Linked DNA regions of Arabidopsis thaliana. The protein of the gene in region 1 binds, or shares a complex with, the protein of each later gene. Each region holds a gene or a part of one and is shown on either strand. Other genes may lie near its edges. The genes, in order: TIM50, TIM23-2, TIM17-3 and TIM17-2.

Region 1 (8,365 bases):
TATAAATGCACCAACAAGTTATGAGTTTTTCTTTTGCTTATAACATCCACGAATTACTCATTCTTACATCTTTGATTAGTATAAGCCCTGAGTAATTATACCTGAAGAAACCTTGAAACACCAGCTAAAGTCCCGCCTGTACCCGCAGCAGCAACAAAGGCGTCAATATTACCCTGAGTCTGGTGCCAGATTTCAGGGCCAGTACCTTCATAATGAGCCCTATAATTTGCCAAGTTTTCAAATTGATCTGCAAAGAAGCCACCGGTAACTGAATCTGAGAATAAGGAAGGCTCTTTCACTTCCTCAACCGTGCAACCATTAGTTTTCTCCTGGTGTATGCCATTTGTTTCGCTCCCTAGTCTTCTCTTTGATGCTAACTCGTTTGCTTCGTCAGCCCGTCGCCTCGCAATGTTGACATAGTGATCCTTGTGAGTTATTGACACTGGCCTCACTCTCTCAACAGAAGCTCCAAGGGCTTCAATTATTTGAGACTAAAATAAGTCCAACACGATACAAATTTGAGTGTATGTACAATAATGCATACAAGGGAATTTGAATCATCATCAAGGTATTTAAAAGATATAACCTTTTCAATAGCAGCATCATCAGGTATAACAACATGACATTTACACCCATAAGCCGGAGCAACTGTAGCAAGGCTAATGGCAGTACTTCCTGCACTACCCTCAGTTACAATTCCTCCAGGGAATAGCTTACCAGATTCCAAAGCCTAAACAGAGAAACAAAAAAAACATAATGGACTTGCTTCTCGATTTCAAAAACCACTAATATAAATAGCCAAGCTGATGATTCAATCACTGACATTGTTAAGAGAGGTTTATGATGATCAAAAAACTTTTAAAAGTTGAAACCTTTACAATGCTAATCATAGTGTACCTCTTGAATGATCTTGACAGCAACTCTATCTTTAACACTACCTCCTGGATTCAAAAACTCGCATTTCCCAAGAATCTGATCACCAGACGAAACAAGTAGAATGAAAATTACATCTTTAACTCATAAATCACACTATCAGTTCGTCAGACCAAACAGAAAATAGCAAAAGAACATCGAGAAAAACCTCACATCCAGTAGCCTCAGAGAGACTATTGATACGAATCAGAGGAGTATTGCCAATGGCATCAACAAGCCCGTTTCTCATAGTCAACTTCTCCTTCCTCTTCTTCTTCTCGGAGAGACGGAAAAAGAAGCTGTAAGAAGTAAGCATCAACAACGCCGCTGCTGCAACAACAGCGCCAGTCATATTAACAGGCGCCATTGAAGCTCAAGCTCGCCTTCTCCCGTAATCAAACCGGTGAAGTAAAATTAGGTCGTCGGCAAAACAACACTATTTCTATTATTTGTTATTCTAGCCCCCAATATTTCCTTTAGTTAAAAATAAGGCACTAACATTTTTTAAATTATCAGATGCGTCCTTCATTTGATTTGTTCTTAAACTCGTCTCCTGAAGGCTGAAACCCTTTGCTCTCACTCCCAAAACGATGTCGTCTCTATCTCGCGTTCTCCGTGGCACCTTCAACACTTGCCCGATCCGCCGTTTTTCCTCCGCCGCCACCGTAGTCTCCGAACCCACCGCAGTCACTGCCGCAATCTCGCCTCCTCAAAAGTCACTAACCAGTCTCGTGAATGGCGAACGAAACCCCAAACGGATCGTGGAGAAATTCAAGAAGGCATGTGAGTCGGAGCGGTTCCGGACCAACATAGCCGTGTACGATAGAACCGTGCGCCGTCTCGTAGCCGCAAAGAGATTACACTATGTCGAAGAGATTTTGGAGGAGCAGAAGAAGTACCGCGACATGTCAAAAGAGGGATTCGCGGCGAGGATCATTTCTCTGTATGGAAAAGCCGGCATGTTTGAAAATGCACAGAAGGTGTTCGAAGAAATGCCAAACAGAGACTGCAAGAGGTCAGTGTTGTCCTTCAATGCCTTGCTTAGTGCATATAGACTTTCCAAGAAATTCGATGTGGTTGAAGAACTTTTCAATGAGTTACCTGGAAAGTTATCAATCAAACCAGATATTGTATCTTACAATACTTTGATTAAGGCATTGTGTGAGAAGGATTCTTTACCTGAAGCTGTTGCATTGCTTGATGAGATTGAGAACAAGGGACTAAAACCTGATATAGTTACATTCAACACACTTTTACTGTCTTCGTATCTAAAGGGACAGTTTGAGCTAGGGGAAGAGATATGGGCTAAAATGGTGGAGAAGAATGTAGCAATAGACATCAGGACTTACAATGCTAGGCTGCTTGGATTAGCCAATGAGGCGAAATCGAAAGAGCTAGTAAATCTCTTTGGAGAACTTAAGGCTAGTGGGCTCAAACCTGATGTTTTCAGTTTCAATGCTATGATTAGAGGATCTATCAACGAAGGAAAAATGGACGAAGCTGAAGCGTGGTACAAAGAAATTGTGAAGCATGGTTATCGTCCTGATAAAGCTACCTTTGCTTTATTGCTTCCTGCTATGTGTAAAGCAGGTGACTTTGAGTCTGCGATTGAGCTCTTCAAGGAGACATTCAGTAAGCGGTATCTTGTCGGTCAAACAACGTTGCAGCAGTTAGTTGATGAATTGGTGAAAGGGTCTAAGAGAGAAGAAGCTGAGGAGATTGTGAAGATTGCAAAGACCAATGATTTCTTAAAGTTGAAGCTAAATTTGCCGTCCCAGGAAGAGTAAGTCATTTGCTACTCTCTCACTAAGTGTCTCGTTGAATTGTGTCTGAGCAGCTTAAGCTATATGTATTTGCTGGTGTTGCTTTGTGGCTTTTCTACTTCTCTAAACTTTCCTCTGTGGAAGTAAGACTTGTTTCTTTCTATGTAGTTTCGCTTATTTCACTGGTGCAAAAAACAGCATGTAGTCGAGGTTTAGGCAGAAGAAACCCTACAAATTTAATAAATTTTGGTTATTTGTTTTCTCTTTTTGACACGAATGAATTTATTATTTTTGTTGGAAAAATATTTTCATTTTATTTGGTAAATAAATAGTGTAAAATAACTTCATTAATTAGTTATTAAAAGCCCGAAATGCAAAAATAAAATAAAATAGATTCTCTTCTTGGTAAACAAGTAAAAAAAACAGCAAAAAAAATAGAAAAATATCGGAGTAGAAATAAACCGACTACCAAACAGTGGATAAGAGAGTTAAAACGAGCCCATAAAACCTGTTTCCAAACAGTCCATCTGTTAATTTTCCTTTTCTCCGATCAATTCCAAAACCCTACTTCAACCCTGCGATTCATTCATCATTCACAGAGTTTGAAGAAAACGCCGAAATCGGAAATGGCGTCTATTGTTCTTCGATCTCGCCTGTTGCCAAGATTAGCAAAGCTCAGATCTCGTAATCTGAGATGTTTCTCTGCGGAAGCATCTTCGACGAATTCTACATCTAGGTATTCGGGAGTCACCTCTACCCAGTCGATGTTTTCTGATTTTCCACCGCCAAATCAGCCGCCACCTCCTCCTCCTCCTCAAGTGGAAGCTGCTGCCGCGGCTGCGACGGGAAAGGAGAGGAAAGGTCTTAAGTATCTTGGTTACGCACTCCTCTGGGCACTCACTGGTGCTACCGCTGCTACTGGTTACGCAAGTTTTGGTATGTACTTGCATTCATGAATTATCTTTTTTCCCTCTCGTAGATTTCTAGTACAAAGTTGTTTTTGCTGTGAAATGCGAGTAAAAATGTGTTATGGTTTGCTTAATCGTGGCATTGCATTACATTTTCACATATCAGTCTTTTGAATTCAGTGTTCTTCACTTGGTAGAACTGTGTCTTTCTTCGTTATGTTGACTCTTTTTAGTTCTGATTATACTTGTTTGTTTCGTTATGCAGCTTACACGATAGATGAAGTGAATGAAAAGACTAAGGCGTTCCGAGAATCAGCTACGAAGACACCAGTTATTAAATCTTCTGGCATTGATGTGATTGATGTGAGTAAGCTTGGTAGCCTTGAGTCGCTGTCAAATTAATGTTGATCATAACTTGCTTCTGTATTAGTTGACTTTCTTTAGTCTCTGGCTTTCAAATGCGTGCTGCCATGTTTCTCTGCTTCAAGGTATTGTTTATAAGCTTCTCTGAATTAATACCCTTTATACTCATCTTTCTGCAGAAATATCAGACTAAGTTGTACTCTGCTGCAATGACAGGTATAGTTCTTGCGCCTCTGTCATCATAACTAATAGTATGTCTTTAATTAAGCATAGCATGAGTTGGTTTGCTTGAATTTTGATCAGGTTCTGCTAGAGCCATTGATAAGTATTTAGAGCTTAGGGAAATTGTGGAGGAACAAGTGAAAGTACGTCCTTTCACCGAGACACAACTTTTCTTTTTCTTGCATCTTCTTTTTTCTTCTAGAATTCTTATTTTTTGTCTGGTTCCTTATAGGGCTTCACGGAACCTCTCTCGGAAAAGCTTCTTCCGGATCTGCACCCCGCAGAACAGCATGTCTTCACTCTAGTTCTTGATTTAAATGAGACACTGCTTTACACTGACTGGAAGGTAACATTTCATTTATTTACTGATCATCAAAATACTTGCATCATAGATGTGAATATGTGACTCAGAGTATCTATGTTATGAAACAAAGCAGTTCTGGTGAACTACTTTGTTTTCTTAAGTAGTGCTGTATTTAACTTTTCCTGCCTTTTCATTTACAAAAATGTCTAGCGGGAAAGAGGGTGGAGGACATTCAAAAGACCAGGTGTCGATGCATTCTTGGAGCATCTTGGGAAATTCTATGAGATTGTCGTGTATTCTGACCAGATGGAGATGGTAAAGTCCCAATTGGTTTTTCTTTTTTCTCCTTTTTTGCTTGTAATATCATAGTAATGCGACTACTAACGCTTGTTTCATTACTTGTAGTATGTACTCCCGGTCTGTGAGAAATTAGACCCAAATGGCTACATACGTTATAAGCTAGCAAGAGGCGCTACTAAATATGAAAATGGAAAGCACTATAGGGTACGTAAGCAGCTAGCTTATCTTGTCAAAGCATACTTTCTGACTTGCCCGAGTAACTGTTTCTCAACTAACTATTAAAATTCCTGCTGCAGGATCTGTCAAAGCTGAACAGAGATCCGAAGAAGATTCTGTTTGTTAGCGCAAATGCCTTTGAATCAACCCTTCAGCCAGAAAATAGCGTGCCAATCAAGCCTTACAAACTAGAAGCTGATGACACAGCCCTAGTTGACCTGATACCCTTCCTTGAATGTAAGTATTGGTGAACTGAGGGATAAGTTCTGTTCCAGTCCGTGAACTGCCTGTATCAATTTTGTTTGGTTGATCTTCCTGTTTGGGTTATGCAGATGTTGCACGTAACAGTCCAGCAGACATCAGACCGGTTCTGGCCTCTTTTGAGAGAAAAGATATTGCCAAAGAGTTCATTGACAGGTCCATAGAGTATCAAAAGTGAGTCGATCAGAGCTTTTTTTTTACCCTATCGTATCAATGCAAAATCTGTTGGTAGTGTCCCACTAAGAGTGTCATATCTCTATGCAGGCGAAAGCAAGGACAACTGGGACAAGGTCGATTCTGGAGGCGTTAAAGGATCTAAGATTTATGTATAGAGCGAGAGACAATTATATCATCATTGATGGTGCACACCATAAAATAGGAACATGAGCTACCGTTCTTCGCTATGGATTTATTAGGTAAAATCCGAATTAAAATACTGTCTTTGTCATCAAAGAGTTTTTATGTTACCCAATTTTCCTCGTCTTTCTCTCTGCTTTACATAGAAAATTTCTATGAGAACGAAAAAGAAATTATCATATGGAAGGTTCATTTTTCGTTGACTAACAAATACCGTTTTTTTTCTCTGATTTATTTTTACTTGGTTTGACAAATGATTTATGATTATGAACTTTGAGAAATTATTGGTTGAAACGTCAATTTGTATGTATTGCTAAAAAAAAGAGTAAATTACCTTTTCTAGTACGCTTAATATTTATCTGTCTGTTTCAATGCGTGTCTTAAGGTGCAATATCAGGTTTACAATTAGGTAAATCAATTACAGATTTTTCTTGTTAATCTGAACCAAATAATTGTACTTTTTCCTAAATTTGAATTCATAAAGAGGGTCCAAGTCTAACAACCACTTACAAAGCTCCTTCACCCGTAATCCTTTTCAATGTGTCGTAATCAACCAACCAAAAACCATAAATTTATTGTAGTACAAAACAAAACTCCATGACTTTAAAGTACGACTCTTAAACACCACTTATATATTACACGACATATCGCTTAACTTCGAATTTCAGACACACAAACCCACTGAACATTCAAATGTCTCGTTCTCTTGTCTTCTTCTTCCTCTTTCTTGTCTTGGTCGTCCCTTGTCTCTCCCATGGAACCGGAGGAGACCACGACGACGATGAGGCTTCGCACGTTAAGAGTTCCGATCTCAAATCCAAATCCTTAATCTCCGTCAAGATCGCATGTCTTGTCATCATCTTTGTCCTCACGTTCATAAGCGGTGTATCTCCTTATTTCTTGAAATGGAGCCAAGGGTTTTTGGTTCTTGGTACACAATTCGCCGGAGGCGTGTTTCTTGCAACCGCCTTGATGCATTTCTTGTCGGACGCTGATGAGACGTTTCGTGGTTTGTTGACGGCGGAAGGAGAGTCGGAGCCATCTCCGGCTTACCCATTTGCTTATATGTTGGCTTGTGCTGGTTTTATGTTGACCATGCTTGCTGATTCTGTCATCGCTCATATCTACTCAAAGACCCAAAACGATTTGGAGCTTCAAGGTACCAAAAGTTTCGAACTTGTGAATCTCAATCAAGAATTAGAATTATGTTGTGTTGAAAGTTTTGTGCTTTATTTCGTTTCAGGAGAAGACAAATCGAATCAGAGGTCAGCAACAACTGAAACTTCGATTGGAGATAGCATTCTATTGATCGTAGCTCTCTGTTTTCACTCTGTCTTCGAAGGCATAGCTATTGGTATTTCAGAGACTAAATCAGATGCTTGGAGAGCTCTCTGGACAATAACACTCCATAAGATATTTGCAGCGATTGCAATGGGGATAGCTCTTCTCCGTATGATCCCTGACCGTCCTTTATTCTCCTCAATCACTTATTCTTTCGCATTCGCCATCTCGAGCCCAATTGGTGTTGCCATCGGGATAGTCATCGATGCAACGACTCAAGGGTCCATCGCGGATTGGATATTCGCATTGTCGATGAGCTTGGCGTGTGGGGTATTTGTGTATGTATCTGTGAACCATTTGTTGGCAAAAGGGTATCGACCAAACAAGAAAGTTCATGTTGATGAGCCTCGTTATAAGTTTTTGGCTGTGTTGTTTGGAGTTGTTGTCATTGCCATTGTTATGATATGGGACACTTGAAAAACACTACAATTGTCCCAAAATACTGATTAGATTTTTCTGGTTTGCAAAGAAAGCTTGTTGATTTTTGTATGTTTATAGCATGTAGCAATCCTCGTTTTGTAATGTACTTTGTACTTTTGTAGCATCAAAGATAACACACCAATAAGAGAGGTTTCTTTCTTGTTCGATTTGGACAAGCACGGTTTATCTAAGCGGTACTTAATATAGATGGGCCTGTGGATTGGGCTTGAAGTGGGCTTATAGTGGGCGTGTAGGTGTTGTTATTGGCTTACATGAATAATGGTGCGTTTGTCCCGCCACTCTCTGGTAGACCAAATTATGCTTCACATTTCAAAATCCCTTTTTTGTTGCATCGAAGATCGGGAAGGTCAGAATTGTTTGGGTTTTTGAATCGAATTTTGAGATATTTGAAGGTGGGCATCTGTGAAATTGTGATGAGTTCGGCGAATTTGGAAGATTTGAACAAGGTCTGGGAAATAAAGGCTTTGAAGAGGAAACCTAGAGAAGATGAAGCGAGGAAGATTCTGGAGAAAGTAGCTAATCAGGTTCAGCCGATTATGACTAGACGAAAATGGCGCGTCAAGCTTCTCTCTGAATTCTGGTAATTTAAAGGGTTTTTGTCAAATCGTCTATTTATTAAAGATTTGAATCGATTAGTGGCTGTGGAAGAATGATTGAAAGTATTGTTGAATCGATAAGTGGTTGTGGAAGAATGATTGAAAGTATTGACTTTTAGGGTTCATGATGTTTCCATTGTTCATGATGTTTGTTTTCGATTTCGAAATTGCAGCCCAACAAATCCAAGGCTTTTGGGGGTGAATGTAAATAGAGGCGTGCAAGTGAAATTGAGGCTTAGGAGGGTAAACCATGATTTAGATTTCTTATCGTATCATGAAATTCTCGACACCATGCTCCACGAGCTTTGCCACAACGCTCATGGTCCTCATAACGCAAGTTTCTATAAGCTTTGGGATGAACTTCGAAAGGTATCTCGATTC
Region 2 (6,723 bases), 6.5 Mb from region 1:
TGTGGAAATTTCCATTCTTGTTTGTTTGTTTCACAAGACTGTTGAGTTGTTTGAGAAATAAACCCTCCAAAATTAGAAAAATTGTAAAACCACTAAAAGCTTCATCATCTCACAATACAATTTTCTGTTTCTTTTCATTGTTCATTGTTTCTTCTCTGAGGTTGCAAAGCCAGACAAAAGAAAAACAACACAATCGATCTTGGTTGTGGGTGTTTTGTGACAAAGAAGACATGAGATCATTTATGAGTATTATAGTTTCCTTGTGAAGCAGGTTATTCATGTTTCTTGGGAAGCAAGATTCTAACATGTCTGCAAGAAGAGTTAGAAGGACCTCGGAGGACTATGGCAGTATCACGGCGATCGCCATTGATAAGGACAAGAACAGCCAACACGCCTTGAAATGGGCCGTTGAAAATATTGTTGCTGATGCTCCACAATGTGTCCTTATCCACGTTCAACGTAAGCATCTCTCGCTCTTCTCTTCATCATTGAAACCAAAACGTCAAAGAGCCACCCTAATTAGGAGTATGTTTTGCAGTAGGAGACACAGGAGGACATTTTCATCAGGACAATCCGGACGAGGCACATGAATTCTTTCTTCCTTTCAGAGGATTCTGCGCTCGAAAAGGAGTTAGTATTAATCGATCATTTCCAATCTCCTTGCAACAACATTTCACACTTATAATGCATCAAATATGATCATGACATTCTTGTATATACACACTTTTCAGATCATAGCAAAAGAGGTTATTCTTCATGATATTGACATCTCCAATGCTATTGTCAACTACATCACCAACAATTATTACATTGCAAATCTTGTTGTTGGCGCATCTGCACGCAATTCCTTCCTTAAGTCTCTCTCCTCTTCTCTGTTTCATGCTTGGTATCATCTCAACTTTGGTTATACAAAATGCTAACATTCAATTTTTCTTTGTGATCAGAAAGTTTCAGAGTCCAGATGTACCAACCACTCTGCTTAAGACGACTCCAGAGACTTGTGCCGTCTTTGTTGTGACCAAAGGTAAGCTTTTAAAAAGCAGATCCGCGAGTCACCGTCATAAACTTTCCAGACAACAAAATCTCTCTTCTTTGTTGTACAACTCAACAAACTCCATTGACTCTGACAGGTAATCTCAACTCTCTTCTAACCATTGGCCATGGTTTTCTTTTCAACAGGATTTAGTGAAGTATGCCTTTTCATTTTGTTTACATTTTTTACAGCGCATCAATATCATCACCTGTATCTACACAAACCAACAAACCAAATTCAAATTTTTTCCAACCTAATTCACCTCGCATCTCAACACCGCAATCTATGAGTGAAATCTCTCAGTCAGAGACTGACAATGGAAGTTGTGATATGGTATCAACTGTGAGTTCTTACACCGTCTCTGATAGTTCCACTACCATCGGAAGCTCGATCTCTTCAACTTCCACGGTTAGTAGTATATCGTCACTTTCTTATAAATGTTCAGTTTCTCAGTGTTCTGACATTTCCTTCTTGGTTTTCATACTGATGCACAGGAAAGTCCACTTGTCGGAAATTACGTGGAACAACAGGTAAAGCTTTTCAGGAACATAAATTTGGTCCTGGATTTGCAGAATGTCAACATGATTTGATATGGTCTATCCTTTTTGACAGAATCAAAATCTTGAAGCAGAGGTGAGGAGACTGAGACTGGAATTGAAGCAGTTTAACAAGGACAAAGACACTACAAACCAAAAAGAAAACGTAAGATACTGTTATCTTCCATGTTGATGACAATTGTTGTGAATAATAATCATTAGATATTACATTATGTAGTCCCAAGAAACCCCATGGTCAGATGAAAAAATAGAGCTGCCTAGAGCATTGTCTGATAGGGAAACGCAGAAAACGCAGTCTGCTGCATTCCAAGCAGCTGAAATAGCAAAGCGCATAGCGAAAATGGAGAGCCAAAAGAGAAGATTACTTGAGATGCAAGCCAATTTGGACAAACAGATGATGTTCACAACGGTTTCTTACAGACGTTATAGTATCAAAGATGTTGAAGATGCAACCTATGGTTTTTCTGATGCTCTAAAGATTGGGGAAGGAGGTTATGGACCTGTTTACAAAGCTGTCCTCGATTACACTTCTGTCGCCATTAAAATCTTGAAGTCGGGTATCACAGAGGGACTGAAACAGTTCCAACAAGAGGTACTGTGTTAGTTTATATTGCTCTCCTTATTTTGCTTCTCCTTCTCCTGACTCATACATATGTTTCTTCAATAGATTGAGGTTCTTAGTAGCATGAGGCACCCTAATATGGTAATCCTTCTCGGTGCATGTCCCGAGTATGGTTGTCTTGTATATGAGTATATGGAAAATGGAACACTCGAAGATCGCCTCTTCTGCAAAAACAACACACCCCCACTTTCATGGAGAGCAAGGTTCAGAATCGCTTCTGAGATTGCCACAGGTCTTCTTTTCCTTCACCAGGCAAAACCTGAGCCCCTAGTTCACCGTGATCTGAAGCCAGCAAACATTCTACTCGATAAACATCTCACTTGCAAAATCAGTGATGTCGGTCTAGCTCGCTTGGTACCTCCTGCTGTGGCTGATACCTACAGTAACTATCACATGACTTCTGCAGCCGGTAAGTCTTAACATCTCTTTTCGATGTCTTAACATCGAACCAATGTTGATGTATGTTTCCCATTTTGACGTGTACGGGAACAGGTACATTTTGTTACATTGACCCTGAGTATCAGCAAACCGGAATGCTTGGAGTGAAATCTGACCTCTATTCTTTTGGTGTGGTGCTACTGCAAATCATAACAGCCCAACCAGCAATGGGGTTAGGCCATAAAGTAGAGATGGCGGTTGAAAATAATAATCTGAGAGAAATTTTGGATCCAACAGTATCAGAATGGCCTGAAGAAGAGACTCTGGAGTTGGCTAAATTGGCTTTACAATGTTGTGAACTGAGGAAAAAGGACAGACCTGATCTTGCCTTAGTTCTGTTACCAGCTCTGAACAGGCTTAAAGAGTTTGCAACAGAGGATCATGAACGTATTCAGGATAGAACATCTCATGTGTCACATGAACACAATTCAGTTCCGCTTTCCCCGATTCCTTCCTCTCAGGTTAGTTTCTTAGAACCATTCTTTTTAAGGGATATTAGCTGCAAATAGAAATTTAGGGTTTTAGATCAAGCAGAATCATGTTTTATTAAGTAGGTGAAAAATGTTTACTGCAGAACTTTCTCAGTTCATGAATAATTTCTGTGCCATGTAGATAGAGGATGAATTGAGAAAATCATATTGAGTATTGATAAAAACATGGAAATTCGACGTAGATCAACCAGAAGCTGAAAATGGCAGTACCTGAGATCCACGACTATCTTGATCCTTCTAAGACCCGTAACCATCCTATACCTAGAAGGAGTCGACCTCCAAGATCACATACAAGCAAGTACAAAGGCAACGGTTGGTCTTTTATGAGTTGTGCTCCTTCCAGAGTTCAGTGGGGTGATCTCCCATAGCGTGTGGGGAGTTCCCTTATCTTTGTATATGAAACATTCTTTTAGTTTTGTTCATGTAAAATTCTACACTTTAAAGAAGACTTGTTTATTGATGTAAAGACCCTCATTCGAATGAAGAAATCAGACGAAATGTCATTTTGCAGGTACATGATCTTCTGAAACAAAACAAAAATTCTAAGCAAGCTGCAAAACTGAAAGTTTAAGGCTTTAATAAAAAGATTAGAGGACACTATTTGTTCTTCATTTAGAGCAGCTGATAAGGTCTAGAGACGGTAAGAGTTTAGAGAAGGTTTGCTACACAATATGCCTGAGACTTGAGAACCAAAAACCACAAAACCAAAAGTGACTGATCCATCATCATAAGCTTGTGAAATCTTGGAGACAAAATTAATAGCTAAGAGCAGAGAACAGTCCAGAGAAATAGAACCAGGGGGATATAATAGGTAACAAAATAACACCATCAAATATCAGGTTAGTACTCAATGAGATAAACAGAGGTATACAATTATGTGAACACACTACACCATCCCAATTAACAAAATGATAAGAAAAAACTTGAGAGAAGAGCTTCATTTTCAAATGTAATACAACACATCAGTTTCTCAACGAATCAAGAAAGAGTTAACATTGATCAAAAACAGAAACATAAAACACTAACTAGAACAAACACACTCATGACAAATTAAATTACCAATCGGCAAAACATTTAATCAGTATGAATATAAGAAAAAGGTTTGCAGGTTATTCTTCAAAGTGAAACTGCATTATGACTTGACATACAGACTTGTTGTACCTCTAGAAACCAAATAAAGTTTTCATTTTTATGATTCCAAGACATACCAAACCTATCAAATTCTCACCATTTCCCCTATCAAAAATTTCAACAACGACCCGAAAAAGAGTCTGCCAATTAGACTCTTGCAGTCTTCAAATGGGCACATACCGCTTCACAATTTGCTTCCCAGCTACAACAGCTCCAGCCGCAAGTCCACCAAGAGCACCAGCTACAGCTGCAGATCTCACTCCTCTCGCCGCTCTACAAACAGCTCCGGTTCCAAGACCAGCCACCACACTGGTCCAAACATCATCTCTATCCGTGGCAGCCACAATACCACTCTCGATCCCTGCGTAAACCAATCCAATGATACCAATCCGATTACCCCAAGTTCGACCAGTTTGACCAGAAGAGTTCAAGATCCTGTTGATTTTGAGCTTAGTAGTGTCGCCAGATTCGAAGCTTTTGACTCCAGTGATGACTCCAACAGAAGCTCCGGCAACGGAGCCACCGAGGTAAGCTGTTCCGGTGTAGAAAGTGAGATTCTCACCCCAAGATCTACGTTGCCTTAAAGCCTCCTCCGTGAAGAGAAACTCAGGGGAGGTAGGAAGCTTGTAAAGGTACTGAGATTTGTTGATTGGGACTTCGTAGTTTTGGTAAGGATTGTAAAGTCTTGTGTTTTCGTCTGACCCATGATCGGATCTGTTATTAGCCGCCATCGATGGAAGAGAAAAGTCTAGGTTTTAAGGATTTTGGTGGTGGCTAGAGAGAGAGAGACGACGGAGAGGAAAGAGAGAGAGAGAAACGTGTGATGATGTGGTTGTGTTGTGTCTCTCTGAATGTTTGGTTTGGTTGCCGAAATGAGAAATGAAACCAAACTAAACTAAAAATCTATGTTTAGGGTTTTTAGGGAAAGACTCAGTCCAGTTGTTTCCAGATACGCGCAGTACCAGATTCGCTTAATACTCGCGTTTACGTTTATTTCGAACTTAACCCCATTTATTTTATTTTCTCTATTTAAACCCAAGTTGGTTTTCTCTTACCACCACACACTGTATTTGCTGATATTTCGAATGTGACCCCATAAGTTTAATTTTTACAAAATTAACCTCTTCAACATTGGACTTTTCAAAGTCATACTTAATTACTTTGCAAAATTGCAATCCATCGTGACAACCAAACATCCTCGAATTTTCAGGTGTTTCTCTTATAATGTCAGAAATATTTTTACGACGAACGAACCTAATTTTATGAATTTTTTTTGTCATCAGTTTTTATTTAGAGAACTAAACTTCAAATAAAATAATTAAGGATTCAAATACAAAGCTTATTTGTTTTTAATTTAAGTCAAAAGGCCAAAAAAAAAAATTCGATTTAATTTCGAGAGCGTAAATAGAAGACAAAATAAAAAGCATAAATTCGGAAGTAAATAATCGAAAAAGTTTTGCAAACTGGAAACCTCCTCCCGCAGTCACACAACTGCGCAGAGCCAAAAATAAACGAAACCTCCGGCGAAAGCTACGGCGAAGAGACTGCGTCTAACTCCGTTTACACGCCGATTGTCTTGGAGAGAGAGAGAGAGCACGAGGTAAATCACGCAAGGGTTAGATGGGAAACCAGAAACTAAAGTGGACGGCGGAGGAAGAGGAGGCGTTACTCGCCGGAATCAGAAAGCACGGTCCTGGAAAGTGGAAGAATATTCTCCGGGATCCAGAATTCGCTGATCAGCTCATCCATCGCTCCAACATTGACCTAAAGGTTTCTCTTTTCTTCACTCACCTCTTTAAAATCACTCTCGTTGAACCATATATTAAACCTAGACATCGAATTTGAGACCAACCCGGAGTGCATTATGTACTCTGTCGTATCTGCTTAGTTTAAGATCCATAAAAAATCAAAACTTTTGGCAATAGGTTTTATTAGTGTTGCCTCTTATCATTGGTTATAGGATTAGAGATTCCTTGGATAGATTATAAGTTTTTTTTTTTATTGATTCAAGTGTGCAATACCTAAAGCTAGCTTGGTTGAGTTGGAGATTTGAGGTGGAAAGAGTAGTACTGTCCTTCATTTTGCTATGGATTTCTTTTACTTGGTGGTAGTCTTATGAAGAAGAGTTTGAAAATTTTGTGTGTTTCAATACTTAATAGGATAAGTGGCGTAACTTGAGTGTTCCCCCTGGTACTCAAAGTTTAACTAATAAGGCACGGCCAGCAAAAGTCAAAGAGGAAGGCGACACTCCGGCTGCAGATGCAAATGATGCTGTCACTATTCCACGGCCTATTCCTACTATTCCACCTCCTCCCGGTCGGCGTACTTTACCTTCTGAGTTGATCCCTGATGAAAATACAAAGAATGCTCCTAGGTTTGTCTTTCTTTGTTCTCTATTTCTCATACTTGAGGCCAGAAAGTATGATGAGAGACTAGTTCCATAAATGCTAG
Region 3 (7,082 bases), on another chromosome or scaffold:
GCGTATCCGCTCGCATGGTCATGGCAGCAATGGCGGCGGAAGATGAAGTTGCAAAAATTGCGTGAGTTTGTACGTTCAGAATATGATCACTCCTGTTTACGCTCCTGTCGCTCCCGAGCTTTATACGAGGGTCTGAAGGTAACAGGACTACACATTTTGAGAATATCTAATTCCGTTTACAAGGATTTGTTGGTGTAAGGTTTAGTATATATATATATATATATATTTATTTTAATATAGGTCGCTGCAACCTCCGATTTGATGCTTGCGTATCTGGATTTCTTCCTTGGTGGGGATGAAAAAAGGACAGACCTTCCACCTCGACTTCACCAAAGGTTTCCAATGCCCATATTGTTTGGTGGTGATGGCAGTTACATGGCTCCTTTCTCACTTCAAAATGACAACATTCTTACCAGTCTGATGAGTCAGGTTGGTTCCTTAGTTAACGAGAAGCAGTTTCAGCAGTTAAATGAAAGGTTGTATCGATTCTTTCTCATTGTTTTACTTTCTCAGCTTGGTTCGCCTACTACTTGGTATAGACTGGTGGCTGGTGTAAATGCTCAATTACGTCTTGTTCGCCGTGGGCGTCTGAGATCAACATTTCATTCTGTTCTGAGATGGTTAGAAACTCATGCTAATCCCGCTCTGGAAACACATGGCATACGGGTTGATCTGGCCTGGTTCCAGACTACAGCTTGTGGTTACTGCCAATATGGTCTCTTGATTCATACTGTTGAGGATTGTGAACCAACATCACCTCAGTGTGTCAGTGAAACAACATGGACTGAAATCCAGCCACGGTAAATGAATGAGAAATTGCATGCAGTCTGTCTATCTATTCTATCTTAATGTCCATTTCGTGGTAACAATAGTCATGATACCATTCTTTCTTCTGTATGTGCTATGCTGGTTTAGGTTGAATAGAAAATATGAACTGAGAAATCTAGATAAACAAGATGATCACAATTCTTTCTTGATCACTCTAGAAATTTAAGATTTCTTTTGTGATGTCACTGTTTATCATGTTTTCGTAGTGCACTTCGTATCTAGTTATGCTGCTTTTTGATGTCTTGGTTTTGTAACTTCTAGTTATGGCGTGAATGCACATAAAGAAAATTCTCCACCACATTTGAGAGAGAGTAGGCTCTTCAACCAACCCCACTCAAACACCGAGGATTATACGACACGCAGAAAGAACTATGGAGGGATAATCGACCTTGACAGCTTACCGAGTCTGAAAGAGAAGAGAGATATGTTTTTCCTTCTCTCTTTCTTAGTTCACAACACAAAACCTGTGGGCCACCAGGTACGAACCCAATCAAAATCTTTATGGTATGAATGTATTCTTAAATGTTGTGACGTTCAACTTTTCTAGAATTTTAATGTCTCTTCCCTCTGTTATCGTCTTTGGTATTGCAGGATATGGTTGGCTTAGTTATCTCGATGTTACTTTTAGGAGATTTTAGTCTAGTCTTGCTCACACTCCTCCAGCTGTATTCGATTTCTTTGCTGGATGTACTTTTGGCTTTGTTTATATTACCTCTCGGCTTGCTTCTGCCATTCCCCGCTGGGATTAATGCCTTATTCAGTCATGGACCCAGACGCTCTGCTGGCTTAGCACGTGTTTACGCATTGTGGAACTTCATGTCCTTAGTCAATGTGGTAAGTTTTCTTTGTTGACAACTTGTTATGTGGAGAAATGCAATGTGGTTCAGTTCACATGAGGATGAATATAATAGTTATATCTGTGGACATTATGGGTGTTGATTCTTTAGAACATGCTGCATGTCTCACATTATCTGACGAGTTTTGGTTCTGTGACAGTTTGTGGCTTTTCTCTGCGGATATGTTCATTATCATAGTGAATCATCAGCTAGCAAGAAAATCCCATTTCAGCCGTGGAATATAAACATGTGAGTTTTACTACTATGCAAAGTTGTACCTTTCTCTGTGACAATCTTATGTTTTGTTTGTTGGGTTTGTGATGTCTGTACCTTTTTGGGGGATGCAGGGGTGAAAGTGAATGGTGGATATTCCCAGCAGGACTGGTCGTGTGTAAGATAATGCAATCGCAGCTCATAAATCGACATGTAGCAAACCTGGAGATACAAGACCGCTCGTTGTATAGTAAGGATTATGAGCTGTTTTGGCAGTCGTGACAAAGTCTTGTCAGGTAATTTTTCTCAGAACAACTAAAAACAGTCCTGCCCCAAGTTTGGAGTGGGGATTTCAGTTTGTTTTTTTTGTTCTTTTGTTTCTCTTCTTGTAATTCTATTACTCCAGGTGAATAGAATTAGGATACAAAAGAGAAGGAACTCTGATTGTTAAAAGAAAAAAAGTTTATTTGAGGGATATAATTAGGGACAAAAACATGTAATCTAAAGATCCTGTTTGGGTTTCTTGGGGCTCTCGGTTTTGGTTTTGAGTGGATATGGTCGTGTTGGTGACTGGTGAAGATCCTCCTTCAAAGGTTGTATGTAAATAAGTGAGAAACCAGAATGATGATCTATCTACTTGAGGCTGTGCTTATTATATCTGCCTCAGTACACCTGAGTTGTTTTTTGGTGTATATTATTGACAAGAAATGGATTTGGTTCTTGATTTGGTGTGTGCACTAGTTGGGACTTAACTAAGGAGTTTTTTTCAGAATGATCAAAATCAGGGAATAATTTAACTTTTGACTGTCGAGCTCAATAATATCTTTGACTCATTCCCTCATCTTCCCCTTCCCAAATGTTTTTCCCCTGAGATTTCATCTACTTAAAAGAAACTATTCAAAAAGGAACACTTGAATAGCAATAATTAGTTCTTGATGACGTTTATACAAAAATGATCAGAAATTCTCAACCACGAAATCTGTTAAACTTTCCATGAAACAGTAATTTTGAAGAATTGATAACGAAAAGGCAATTATCATGAAAGTCTAAATGACATTCTCATCAAAGACAACCCAAAAAGCTTACTTGCTCCCGAACGGAGGGTTGAGTACAGCCAAAAAAAAACCAAACATAACCGCTGATGTTGAAGCTGCAACAACCCCTTTTCGGATAGACAGAACTCCACCTGTAGCAGCACCCGCTACGATGGAGTTCCATGGATCTTCCTTCTTCCTGATGCGCACCAATGCATAGTCAAATGTTGAGAGCAATCCTCCAAATACAGCAAAAGTGCCTCCCAAGCGAGGAGCATTCATGCTAGCCGCTTGTGTTCCTCCAACATATCGAGCACCTATTGGGGAATTGTATGCCCCTCTCACGAAATGATATACAGAACCTCCAACAGCTCCCGCTCCAAATGCATAACCGATAGCATTGACTATACGGTATAGGCCATGTTCCTTAGATTTCTTCTTAGTGTCCATGTTCCTGACAATGCTAGTTTCTACAGAGGAAGGTCAGAGATCTCACAACAAAACTGAATGAACCAATCATCTTAAGAACAAACCGCATAAAAAGCTGCAAATTTTGAAAAGGGCTAATTATCGAAGCTAAGAAATCCTCCGCTTATGAATTGAGCTCAGCACAAGAATCCGAATACCAGAGATATACATCACAGAAACTAATCTAGGAATGATAGAAATTCTGATTCCATTAAGAGCAAACAAAACGGAGCTTGGTTAAACACTAACCAGAAAAGAAGCAGCAGATTCTAGTGACCGATAATGAAGTCGCTTCTAATCAGAGAGGGCGTGCGAGCCCCCGAAATTAGGGTTTCTAGGTGAAAACGATCGACAATTGTAAATCCTCACTCGTACCTTCGCTCTCGCTCCTCCTAATTTGGACCAGTGTCGCTATAAATTTCTGCAGAACTAACTAGAATGCTATGCCTAGTGAGTGTTACAATTTGTTTTGTCAGAAAAAAAACACCCTGGTCTTTGTTTTTTTTAATAAATGGCTGGAAAGCCACTTTCTCTGGAAAATAAAGCTAGAATGCCACCTTCGTATTTTCATTTTCTTTTACAATTTTGTTTTAAATCAAAAACTAAGGAAAGGTCCAAAAACCCAATTTCAATATTGAAAACTACCAACCCAACCTAAAGTATCCGATTATCCATTCCAAATTTTATGGTCCAACCCTGAACCTCAAATCTTAGTCCATTGGGTTTTAGCTTGCAAAATATATGTTTTGTGGTTTTGTGTGTCCCACTAGTGGCCACGACTTACTACAAGCTCAAGTATTCGCGATTTAGCTGAAGAAAATTGAGCGTGCGGATCAGCCAAATCCGACTTTTCATGGTTCAGGCGAACCGGCAGGGTTTTCGACCCACATTTTGTTCAATATATGAACCAAACTTATGATTATTACGACTCCAATTTTACCAGATACATCCACACACCAAACAAGTCTCATCTTTCTTTACACAGATGGTTTTAGACTTTTAGTTTTCAACTTTAAACAAACAAACAACACGTTTTGCTTATTAGCAACACTAATCTGTTGCTGTTTCTGTATTCATAGCCTTTGTATTTTTTTTTTCCGTGTATCTCAATGTTCCGCCGCACCCGAATGGTAAGCTCTACGCCTCAACTGAGATTCCCCTGATGGCTGTTGCAGATATATCCTCGTTGGATCATTAGGGTCCACGTACCTGCACATACACAATGACGACCACACAAGATTTTATGAGGAACAACAGCTTTTACTACTATCAAAAAACTTTCCGATTGATTTCTGATGGGACTTACGCATGTCTCATCATTTCGTCCACAGGTGTCTGAGCGGCTTGAAGAGGATCAACATGAGGAGCTGCCGCTGCTGCTTCTGCTGCTTGTTGCATTTGTCTGTTGTATTGTCTCACTGATGATATGAGATTCAAGAAGAGAGGAACAAATGTCCCACAACCACCTTCCTTAAATAGGATCTTGAAACTGTGTGTTGAATATAGAGCTCTATGCTCATTTTCTGGCACCACCTGGAAATTTTGTTACATGCCAATAAGTAAATATGTATAGTTTCCTTACAAGGAAAGAAACTATAAATTCTCCATGAAAGTTTGTACTTACAGGCTCCACTTGTCCAGCAATATTGTTGCAGTGAAATATTGGCTGATTAAATTTCTCGGCATGGATGTAAAGCTACAGAGTAACATATAATCCATAAGCTAATATGTAGCATGTAGTTCCATAACCAAATTTAACAGAGCTACACTTGTGCCATGTATTAACTAAATCAGAGACAAAAATAAGATAAAGTTACTGTACCAGGGGCATGTCAAAAGCAACAAAGTTGTCAACAGGCTTGCTTGAAACAAAGACCATCCGTATATTAGACAAGTAAATCACCCCCTTGGCCTTAACATGACCTCCATGCCCTCTGGATCATACAACAAGAAAGAACATCAGGGAAGTGTTTAAAGCCCAGAGCTCATATGTCTGTTCACTTCTGAGACTTATCTTATTTACAAGTAAACTTAATGGTTCATATGCTAGATGAGTGGATCTAAACCGACTCAAAACGGTACTAAAATGGAGACCAACAATAATCATCAAATCAATAAACCACTTAAGGAGATCCAAAACATGCGTGACGAGAGAAGGGAACACGAACCCAGGGATCTTGTCGACTTCAAACTCAACACCATCTCGGACTAGGACGAACATTTCATTAACAAAGGGAACAGGCATCCCATTGGGTAGTAATTGAGGGTTTAGCGCCATGAACTGCAATTCAGATTGATCAAGCCAATGATTATATAATTCCTTGTTCTGTTCTTCTTCTCTGCGTAACCTGATCACACAAATGAGAATATAAACACATTTCCAAATATACTTAGACAATCAGAAGATAATTCAAAGGAACATGCTCCAAATTAGCAAATAATTATTCACAGATCCAAGTAACTAGAGCCAATTAACATCCACATATCATCAGCTTCCAATTTCAGATATGCAAAAGAGCAAATAAAATTGAGGTTTTTAGCTAATTCAAATCGAAACGTTCCTATAATGTAGAAACAAAGACTAGGATTAATAATACGTGTTCAAAACAAATCAATCAACAAAGAAAATATCTAATTCCTTAGAGAATCAAAATCTGATAGCAATAAGAAAGCAGTAACAGAACGATCCAAGTTCAATTTCAAGCAATCCTTTACTCGTAATTTTCTCGCGAATAGAAAAGCTGAAGGAACATACCTGGGTCTACAGAGCTTAAAAGGATTTTGATCGGAGAGATTGAAGAAGAAGAGGATAGGGGTAATAAAAGGGCCAAGATCACAGTTTCTCGTTTTTTCCAGAAAAGAGACGCGACGCGGTTTATTCTTAAAACCTTCTAACCATTTTATTCGTCCCTCTACTTATTTCTTTAGTTCGATTTTCGCCCGCAATTTGATTTCGTTACAATTGTCCCCATCTACAGTTACTATTTGGGCCTTATTACATCTCAGATTAAAGGGACCGTTCAGCCCATTTTCAGTTGTTTTAACTTTGGTTTCGGTTTAGGTGTTTATTTATTTTTTTGACATCTTGTTTCGGTTTAGTTTTGGTTTGGATTGTTTGAGCTTTCGATTTTAACCAAAACGTGAAGACGAGTTTTAGAGATTCTTGTTATTGTTTTAGCTATTTATAACAAGTAGTTACCTAAAATGCCAAAATCATTAGCTTAAGATTAGGAGTTTTGTTGTTTTTAGAACATTTTGCTCAGTACAATTTAGAAACCACTTTCAAAAGAGTATTCAGCTATGCTTCTATAGTCCTATTATCTATATGAAACTTTTGATAAACTCTTCAAAATAATGATACAAGTTCTTTAATTCTGCAACAATTATACCATTTTAATAAAACAACCAATAAGATACAACAAGTGGCAGAAAAAAGCATATTATTCCCTTCCAAGACAAGTTGATCGATTTTGTGATGTGGGATGGAAAGTGTAACTTTGAGACAATAATGATTTGTAGATTATATTAGTAACAATTTATTATTTATCAGCAAAGACAGAGAGAGAGTTCACAAACAGCATCATAATGTAGAAGAGAAAACAAACAACAAACAAACAAACAAAAAACTTAAATACAAGCCTTAAGAAACTATCAAGGGTTGTGAATAGTATAATCTGCAGGTTTCTTCAACAAAACTTTTTTA
Region 4 (7,543 bases), on another chromosome or scaffold:
CATGCTCTGGTTATCGGATTCCAGCTTGTCTTTTTGGTCTGCAGAAACAAGAAAAATCAGCACATGACAGATCTTATTTTCACCCTTAGAAATAGGAAAGAAGAAGTACCCAATCTTGTGAACAACGAATTTATATCGTTTGACGCATGCTGCAGATCACAACGTAACCCCTTTGCACGGTCGATCAAAGAAGTCTCTGTTCAAGAAAAATATGAGTAAGCAACAAACCCAAGAAATCGGAAGCATGTAAAGAAAAAGTATTGAGTAAGAACTGTTACCTGAAGCTTTCATTCTGGAGACGATGACTTCCTTTTCCTTTAACTTTGAAACAACTTGGATATAATTCTCTTTGAGATCTAGCAAGTCCTTGTTACTATTGTGCAGGTTTCTCTGGATCATGAATGTTTGAAATTTCAAGAAAACTCTCACTAAAAGGATGAATAATCTGGATACTAAGTCACGGAAGTTCTAATCACCTTGCAGTCCTTAAGGTCACTTTCAACGTCCAGTAACTTCTCTTTCTCAGTCTCATAAAGGTCACAGAACTTGGAAACCTCCTGCATAAAAGAAGCCTCTTAAGTTCCAATGGGAGAAAATTAATTTAGTTTCTAACGTACAGATACACTTTAATGTTAAGAGATAATGTGAGGCAGACGTACACTTTCACTGAGATTTAGTTCATTCTCCAACTGTTCTATCCTCTCAATTCTCGCCTGAAACAAAGTGATCATTAAGCCCAGCATAAAATGAATATACACTTAAGTGTCTTCTTTTGAATCTACCTTCTTTTCAACTTCTTCTTGTGTATATCTTTCATGTGCAATGTAAACACCATTCTTATCCCTTGCTGCTCTTACATCTGCATTGATTGTTTAACAATTTTAACTAATCCAATAGCTCATTTGATAATATACATAAGAAAATCTGGAGAATATAGAACAGAATGTTGTGTTCATACCTTCTTTCATTCTCTCAAGCTCCAAGTAAAGATCTTTAAGCAACACAGCCTTGGATAACTTCTGGTTTGCCTGCAGAGACACGTCTAGTTAGAAGGATAGAAATTAAGGGTACATTGATAAATAAAGATGAGATATGGTAGCATAAACAAAACCTCAGGTTTGTTCTTGATGTTCTTGGCACGATAGGCATAATCCAAAGTACTTAAAGTTTCCTCTAGGGAATGAGCAGATGGAGAGATTGTAGCAATGATACAAGTTTTTGTCTTTCCTCCTAGAGAGTCCCGTAAAAGCCTTGTCAGCTTACTATCCCTGCAACCACAAGTATGCTTTCAAAAAACACAAATATTACCACAGTAGACATATATAGTTGTAGGACAAGGCAAGTACCTGTAAGGTACATGAGAAGAATGTTCCACAAGGGCATTAATCACACGGCCTAGTGTAAGCAAACTCTTGTTAATCTCTCCTGCTTCTCGTGCACGGCCATCTCGAGCTCCTGACCGTAAGATATTCTCAGATCCTGCTAGATCCACAAGGTTAAGCTTCCCACATTTGATTAACTCTTCATCTCCCATAGACTCTTCCTTTATATGGACAGTGATAGTAAACACTGAATGAGATCGACTACTTCTCTTATTCAACAAAGTATCAGCTGTACGCCTTTTAGATGAACCTCGTTCAAGAAGAGCATATATATCATTAGCACTGTACACAACTTCTTCTTCAAGACCTCTTAAAACCACAGAACCCTTCCCATCCTCCATCAAAGAAATGGGCTTCCTCTGCTTATCCTCAGAAGATCTTGAGGAATCATCTTGAGCTAACAAATCCGTAACTTCCTCATTGTAAAGCTCCAAGAATGTTACTTTCATACTGTAATCAGCATTTTGCGCCTCAAGAGTATCGAAAATATGTCTAACAGCTCTGGGAATCACCCCAGCCTCCGCAGGTAAATCCCCTCCCTTTTTCCTCATTCCACCTTCCATAGTGTAAGTCTTCCCAGTTCCTGTTTGTCCATAAGCAAACACAGTACAGCTAAAACCTTCCAAGACTTCATGAACAATAGGTGCAATAGCTTGATCATATATAGACCGTTGTTGTGACTTAGGACCAAAAACCTATAGAATAAACACCATCAGAGACCCTTGAATACAAAACCATCAAGTAGAGAAAGAGACCAACCAACCTTGTCGAAATTGAAAAGACGGTCTACTTGCTTATTAGCAATAGTATGAAGAACATTGACTTCTCTTCTCATTTCATTACAAGAGATGACTCTAGGAACACTAGATTTCTGCTCTTCTTCACTTAATGGTTTGCATCGTAGAATCACTTGAACATTGACTTCTTTATTATCTCTATCGAGACGGTTAGAGAAAGAATCAGGTCGTCTTCTCTCGAGACGAGGAGTTAGAAACGGTGCAGGTGATGGAATCACTCCTACTCCACTTTTCCTTGATACCACCTCTGGCGTAAACGACATCTTCGATTTCTGTGAAATCAAATTCAAATTCCCTAATCAATTGAGAAAGGTTGGATCAGAATCCCAGAGATTCGAATTCTAAATAAGATTCACTTACAGGAAACAGAGCCGAATCCTGGAGATCGAAAGAGAGACTTCTTTTCAAGTTTGAGAGAGAATTTGAAGAACAAAAAAAGATTAGGGTAAGTAACCGTTGGGAGTGGAAGCAGATCCAAATTCGAATTACTAGAGAGCTCAACACTACCTTTAATTTCAAAAGTTTTTTTAAAAGTCGCAAATATCTTCTTCTTTTTTGTCTCAGTATTCATATATTGCTAGATTATTTATTTACAGGTATTATGATATTAAATATTTCAGTCAAAAAATTGTTCCAATAATCCAACAACTTTATGATTTGTAAACATGGAAAAAAGGGAAAAAAAAAAAAGGAATTGTAAATCTACTACTTTCTGATTTTATTCTTAAATAAACACTTTTGCCAATACAATCATATATATGTGAGATGGATTTACTACTTCTTTTTTTTTGGGGAAAGAATTTGGAATCAGCACTATTGGAGATGGATAAATTAAAAAAATGATCATTAGCTCATTATTATCATTGATTTGACAAAATTAGAGAGAAAGAAAAGAAAACACAAAAGAATTTGTAATTGAATATGAGAGTATTTAATTCAGTCTCCAACTGTTCTATGTGTGATTAATCCAAATGTTGTAACTTGTGAAGACCAATATATATTAACAATCTGTATACATTATACACTAACGTACCGTTGTAAGAGAGTTAATGACATTCTTGCATTATAAAGGAGCTTTTAAGCGTGAGTTCAAGACGGGTAAACAGACAACAACATCCTTTAATCTTTTCTTAGTCTATGGGCTACTCCAAACTTGGGCTACTCCAAACTTGGGCTACTCCAAATTGGGCTTCTCTACTTTAAATCTTCTACTAACTATTTGGGCTTTTATTAATAGGTTTAATTACTTTCTCTCTCAGGTCTTTCTTTTAACTAGTTTGGGCAATTGAAAAAACTTTTGGCTCCTTTTTTAAATTTTACTGAACGAAATTATCCTAAAACAATAAAAAATAAAGCAACCATATTCGAAAAGAAAAGAAAAATGAGCGATGCCGGCAAAAAAGAGAGGGAAATTAAAAAAAAAAAAAAAAAACGCAACAGTGTCGGAAAAATAAAGCTGACAAAAAATTAAACGCAAAATAGTTTGGTCGCTGTAACTTTTTTGTTTATTTTTTTCTAGCCAACCCTAATAAACCCTGACGCCGTTTCTTCTTTTACCTTCCTTCTCTCGCTCACCGTCGCACCTCCTTCATTTTTTCTCTCTCTCTCAAACTCGTCTCTAAAACTCGTCCGTCGATTAATTCCTCGTTAGTCTCAGGTATGCTTCTTCGATTCTCATCTATCATCAACAACAGTGCTTTCTCAATTCTCTTAGATTCATTTCTATACACAAAGTTTCCACCTTTTTCTATGGTTTGCTTTCGATCGTAAAGTACGGATCTTTGATAAACCCTAATCTTCTTCGTTCGATTGTATATGTTCAGTATTTAATTGGAATTAGTCAGAGATCTATTTGTTGATTTCGCAGTGACTTACAAAACCCTAAATTTCTTACTATTTGTTAATGAATCAATATTCATTTGATTACAGGTTTGATAGAATCATTGCCTGAGGCATCTAATAATGGGAACACCAGAGACATCTCGGGAGCCTTGCCCTGATCGTATACTCGATGATATCGGTGGTGCTTTTGGTATGGGAGCTGTTGGAGGATCTGCCTTTCATTTCATTAAAGGGACTTACAATTCTCCTAAAGGTAGTCGCTTTGTTGGAGGAACACAATCGGTGAGCATGAACGCACCTCGTACTGGAGGCAGTTTTGCTGTTTGGGGAGGTTTATTCTCGACATTTGACTGTACCATGGTGTACCTAAGGCAAAAGGAGGATCCTTGGAACTCTATCATTGCTGGTGCTGCAACTGGAGGGTTTCTGTCTATGCGGCAAGGGGCTGGTGCTGCTTCGAGATCAGCTATTTTTGGAGGGGTTTTGCTTGCTTTGATTGAAGGAGCTGGGATCATGTTGAACAAGGTACTGGCTCAGCCTCAGAATATGATGATGGAGGACCCTGGAATGCAAGGAATGCCTGGGATGCAGGGAATGCAGGGAATGCCTGGGATGCCCGGAATGCAAGGAATGCCTGGGATGCAAGGAATGCAGATGGGGCAGATGCAGAGTCAAGCACAGATAAGGTCAGAGAGTCAAAACCAGAATACAGCTTCATCATCATCATCATCATCATGGTTTGGAGGGCTTTTTGATAAGAAAAAGGAGGAGGTGCAACCAGGCAGTGAAAGTAAAACAGAGGTGTTGGAGAGTTTTGATGCTCCTCCGGTGCCATCATTTGAGTTCAAGTAAGCTTTGTGGACATCTATTTCTCTGTCATCCAATGGTTTACCTACTGCCTCAACTATCAATTCCATTTCGTCGTCTTTTTGTCTATCCTAAGTTCTCAGCTGAATTCTTCTTGTTCATGGAAGAATCAGCATGCTATGTTCTCTCTCTTTTCACTTATGGTTATGTTTCAATGAGCTTATGCACTCAATCTAGGAATATTCTCTTTGTGAAACCATTCCACAGATATTGTTGGTTCTTAAATAATGTAGTTATAGATTTTAACAATATTCGCCAGTGGAAAATGTTTGAGCATTGGAAATGAATCCCTTGGTCCAATATCTTAGCCCATCCACACAACTCAAACACAGCAATTATATTGTAGTCACAGCAAGTACTTCAAAACTTCAGAAAAAGATCAATCAGAGTGGTTTGTGAAATCTTCAGACTGATCAGAAGATGAACAGTTCTAACAACAATCATATATCCTTAGCAGTACTGATTCATGATAATTGTTGTGCTTGTTACTTCTTAGTAAGTAGGATCACAAAAGCTTGGTCACACCAACAATATTCGGATTAAGGAAAGAGATCAGCGTTTTGATTTGTGATATTTACATTTCCTCTTCTAGTCTTGGGCTTATAAAGGCCCAAATTCAGGGACCAAAAACGACGCCGTAACTTGAATCATATTCGAACTCGAAGGCTCCTTTTGATGCTTCTTCTTCCTCAAATCTCACTGTAGGGTTTTTAGGGGTTTTCTCTCTCTTTGCAATCATGGAGTCTCTAGGGAAGCTACAGCTTCATCAGCAACCAAATCACCTCTCTTTCACTCATTTCTCTTCATCTTTCCCCAAAAAGCCTTCGTCTTTCTCTCTCAGATCCTTACCCAGATCAACATCATCCTTCAAATGCATTTCAATCAAAGCTTCCTCATCCAAGTCTCAAGACTCGAAGCTCTCAATCCTCAAATCCACATGCGTCAGCTTCACTGCGGCAGCAGCACTGTTCCTTGTGAATCTCCAGCTCAAACCTTCACCGGCGATTGCGGCTCCTGTGGCGGCGACGCCGTTAATGGAATCTCTCAAACAAAGTAACGGAAACGTTTCATTTGAAGAAGAAGAGAGATCACTCGAAGAGTATCTTGCTTCTCACCCTGATGATGTTGAAGCTCTACGATCTTTAATGGAGGTAAGGATCAAATCTCGAAAGCTTCTAGAAGCTATAGAATTGATTGATAGGTTGATTGAATTGGAACCAGAGGAGAAGGAATGGCCAATGTTGAAAGCTAATATCTTTAGTTACAGTGGAGATTTAGAGTCTGCTAAAACTGGTTTTGAAGAGATTCTAGTCAAAGATCCGCTTCGTGTCGAGGCTTATCACGGTTTAGTTATGGCTTATTCTGATTCTGGTGATGATTTGAATGCTGTGGAGAAGAGAATTGAGGAGGCAATGGTTAGGTGCAAGAAGGAGAAGAATCGTAAGGACTTGAGAGATTTTAAGCTACTAGTGGCGCAAATTCGGGTTATTGAAGGGAAGCATAATGAAGCATTGAAGTTGTATGAGGAGCTTGTGAAGGAAGAGCCGAGAGATTTCAGGCCGTATCTATGTCAAGGGATTATATACACAGTGTTGAAGAAGGAGAATGAGGCGGAGAAACAGTTTGAGAAGTTTAGGAGACTTGTCCCGAAGAATCATCCTTATAGAGAGTATTTTATGGATAATATGGTTGCTTCGAAGCTCTTTGCCGAGAAGGTACAGCGAGAGATGGCTGAATGATTGTCTTACGAAATGCTAGTCGTGCTTGAATGTGGTTTTTTTTGTCTCTTTTCTGTTGCTAATGGTTTTAGATGGTTGTAGTATGTAGGTTGAGCTTGAATTTATGTCGTGATCGTGTGTTGTAGTACGGATCGAATACTCAATATGGGAATCTTGAATTGCTTGCACTGTTTTTTGAGATGTGTATGTATACATCACGACTCACGAGTCATTGTCCCAACTCACCTTAAAACATCATTTCAAAAGCACCAAGCTGTCTTGTTTTCTCTTGCTTGGTTTGCTGAAAATGGTTGAAGTCGTGTTGGAGTGCTTCTGACCAAGCCTTGGATACATTGAAAACAGAGTTGAATTTTGGAGGCATATAATTAAACTAACAAGACACCAGTATATGATTTTACAACGCTTGTTCTTGTTGTCTTGCAGCTGGAGCTAAGAGCTCTAGAAAAGAGTAAACAAATAACTGGAATTAAGAAAGAGTTTTAGTATATGTCAATGGACTCGCAAGCAAAGAAGATGACTCTGTCGGACACAAAGAACTTGAACAGTAAGACCAAGGCTATCATCTGATGTAATTCAGACCAACAAATTACAAGAGTAGCAGACAAACACACCATTAAGTAGTAGAAAGATTTTCACCTTTAGCATCGTTAAAATCCAACTTAACAAAAGGATATAAAAGGCCCATTATGATCCCAGATGACGCTTTCATCCTATTGTTTTAATCTAATCATCTTTGATAATTTTAAGATTTTGAGGCCCAACTATTAAAACAAGAAACAAAAATAATATCAAATCTTAGCAAGTATAGATTTTGACGTTATTAAACCAAATATAAATATAGAGACACTTCTTGAAATCACTATTTTATTCTTGAAATACATACTCTTGAATACTCCCGATATATTAGGGATTTTGT

What was found.
Region 2: TIM50 (region 1) and TIM23-2 share a complex: the UniProt entries of both Arabidopsis thaliana proteins name them as parts of the TIM17:23 complex.
Region 3: TIM50 (region 1) and TIM17-3 share a complex: the UniProt entries of both Arabidopsis thaliana proteins name them as parts of the TIM17:23 complex.
Region 4: TIM50 (region 1) and TIM17-2 share a complex: the UniProt entries of both Arabidopsis thaliana proteins name them as parts of the TIM17:23 complex.

What each region holds. Positions count from the first base shown.
Region 1 is NC_003070.9:20,899,862-20,908,226, forward strand, and holds TIM50 (Haloacid dehalogenase-like hydrolase (HAD) superfamily protein), read left to right. Parts: upstream 1-3,204; 5' UTR 3,205-3,301; coding exon 3,302-3,611; intron 3,612-3,848; coding exon 3,849-3,946; intron 3,947-4,125; coding exon 4,126-4,162; intron 4,163-4,249; coding exon 4,250-4,311; intron 4,312-4,400; coding exon 4,401-4,514; intron 4,515-4,682; coding exon 4,683-4,787; intron 4,788-4,877; coding exon 4,878-4,976; intron 4,977-5,068; coding exon 5,069-5,225; intron 5,226-5,320; coding exon 5,321-5,423; intron 5,424-5,513; coding exon 5,514-5,559; 3' UTR 5,560-5,992; downstream 5,993-8,365. Other genes in the region: AT1G55880 (Pyridoxal-5'-phosphate-dependent enzyme family protein), read right to left, coding at 102-491, 587-730, 898-972, 1,082-1,279; AT1G55890 (Tetratricopeptide repeat (TPR)-like superfamily protein), read left to right, coding at 1,503-2,699; ZIP11 (zinc transporter 11 precursor), read left to right, coding at 6,300-6,765, 6,850-7,364; AT1G55915 (zinc ion binding protein), read left to right, coding at 7,640-7,968, 8,158-8,353. UniProt on the Arabidopsis thaliana protein: Essential component of the TIM17:23 complex, a complex that mediates the translocation of transit peptide-containing proteins across the mitochondrial inner membrane.
Region 2 is NC_003070.9:27,381,857-27,388,579, reverse strand, and holds TIM23-2 (translocase inner membrane subunit 23-2), read right to left. Parts: upstream 5,216-6,723; 5' UTR 5,025-5,215; coding exon of another isoform or gene 5,004-5,024; coding exon 4,437-5,003; 3' UTR 4,056-4,436; downstream 1-4,055. Other genes in the region: AT1G72760 (Protein kinase superfamily protein), read left to right, coding at 279-459, 539-630, 732-856, 945-1,130, 1,225-1,441, 1,528-1,563, 1,646-1,735, 1,808-2,182 and 3 more; AT1G72755 (uncharacterized protein), read left to right, coding at 4,762-4,799, 4,997-5,024; AT1G72740 (Homeodomain-like/winged-helix DNA-binding family protein), read left to right, coding at 5,893-6,042, 6,432-6,646. UniProt on the Arabidopsis thaliana protein: Essential component of the TIM17:23 complex, a complex that mediates the translocation of transit peptide-containing proteins across the mitochondrial inner membrane. Links the inner and outer membranes.
Region 3 is NC_003076.8:3,758,038-3,765,119, reverse strand, and holds TIM17-3 (translocase inner membrane subunit 17-3), read right to left. Parts: upstream 3,933-7,082; 5' UTR 3,629-3,932; intron 3,382-3,628; 5' UTR 3,362-3,381; coding exon 2,960-3,361; 3' UTR 2,774-2,959; downstream 1-2,773. Other genes in the region: AT5G11700 (ephrin type-B receptor), read left to right, coding at 1-138, 241-429, 514-800, 1,090-1,306, 1,420-1,662, 1,825-1,913, 2,012-2,159; AT5G11680 (classical AGP protein), read right to left, coding at 4,486-4,588, 4,686-4,912, 5,004-5,075, 5,202-5,313, 5,548-5,657; NADP-ME2 (NADP-malic enzyme 2), read right to left, coding at 7,080-7,082. UniProt on the Arabidopsis thaliana protein: Essential component of the TIM17:23 complex, a complex that mediates the translocation of transit peptide-containing proteins across the mitochondrial inner membrane. Links the inner and outer membranes.
Region 4 is NC_003071.7:15,695,449-15,702,991, reverse strand, and holds TIM17-2 (translocase inner membrane subunit 17-2), read left to right. Parts: upstream 1-3,637; 5' UTR 3,638-3,836; intron 3,837-4,108; 5' UTR 4,109-4,141; coding exon 4,142-4,873; 3' UTR 4,874-5,182; downstream 5,183-7,543. Other genes in the region: AT2G37420 (ATP binding microtubule motor family protein), read right to left, coding at 1-38, 110-196, 279-390, 477-557, 660-713, 783-859, 959-1,028, 1,112-1,268 and 2 more; AT2G37400 (Tetratricopeptide repeat (TPR)-like superfamily protein), read left to right, coding at 5,626-6,627; NAKR2 (Chloroplast-targeted copper chaperone protein), read right to left, coding at 7,531-7,543. UniProt on the Arabidopsis thaliana protein: Essential component of the TIM17:23 complex, a complex that mediates the translocation of transit peptide-containing proteins across the mitochondrial inner membrane. Links the inner and outer membranes.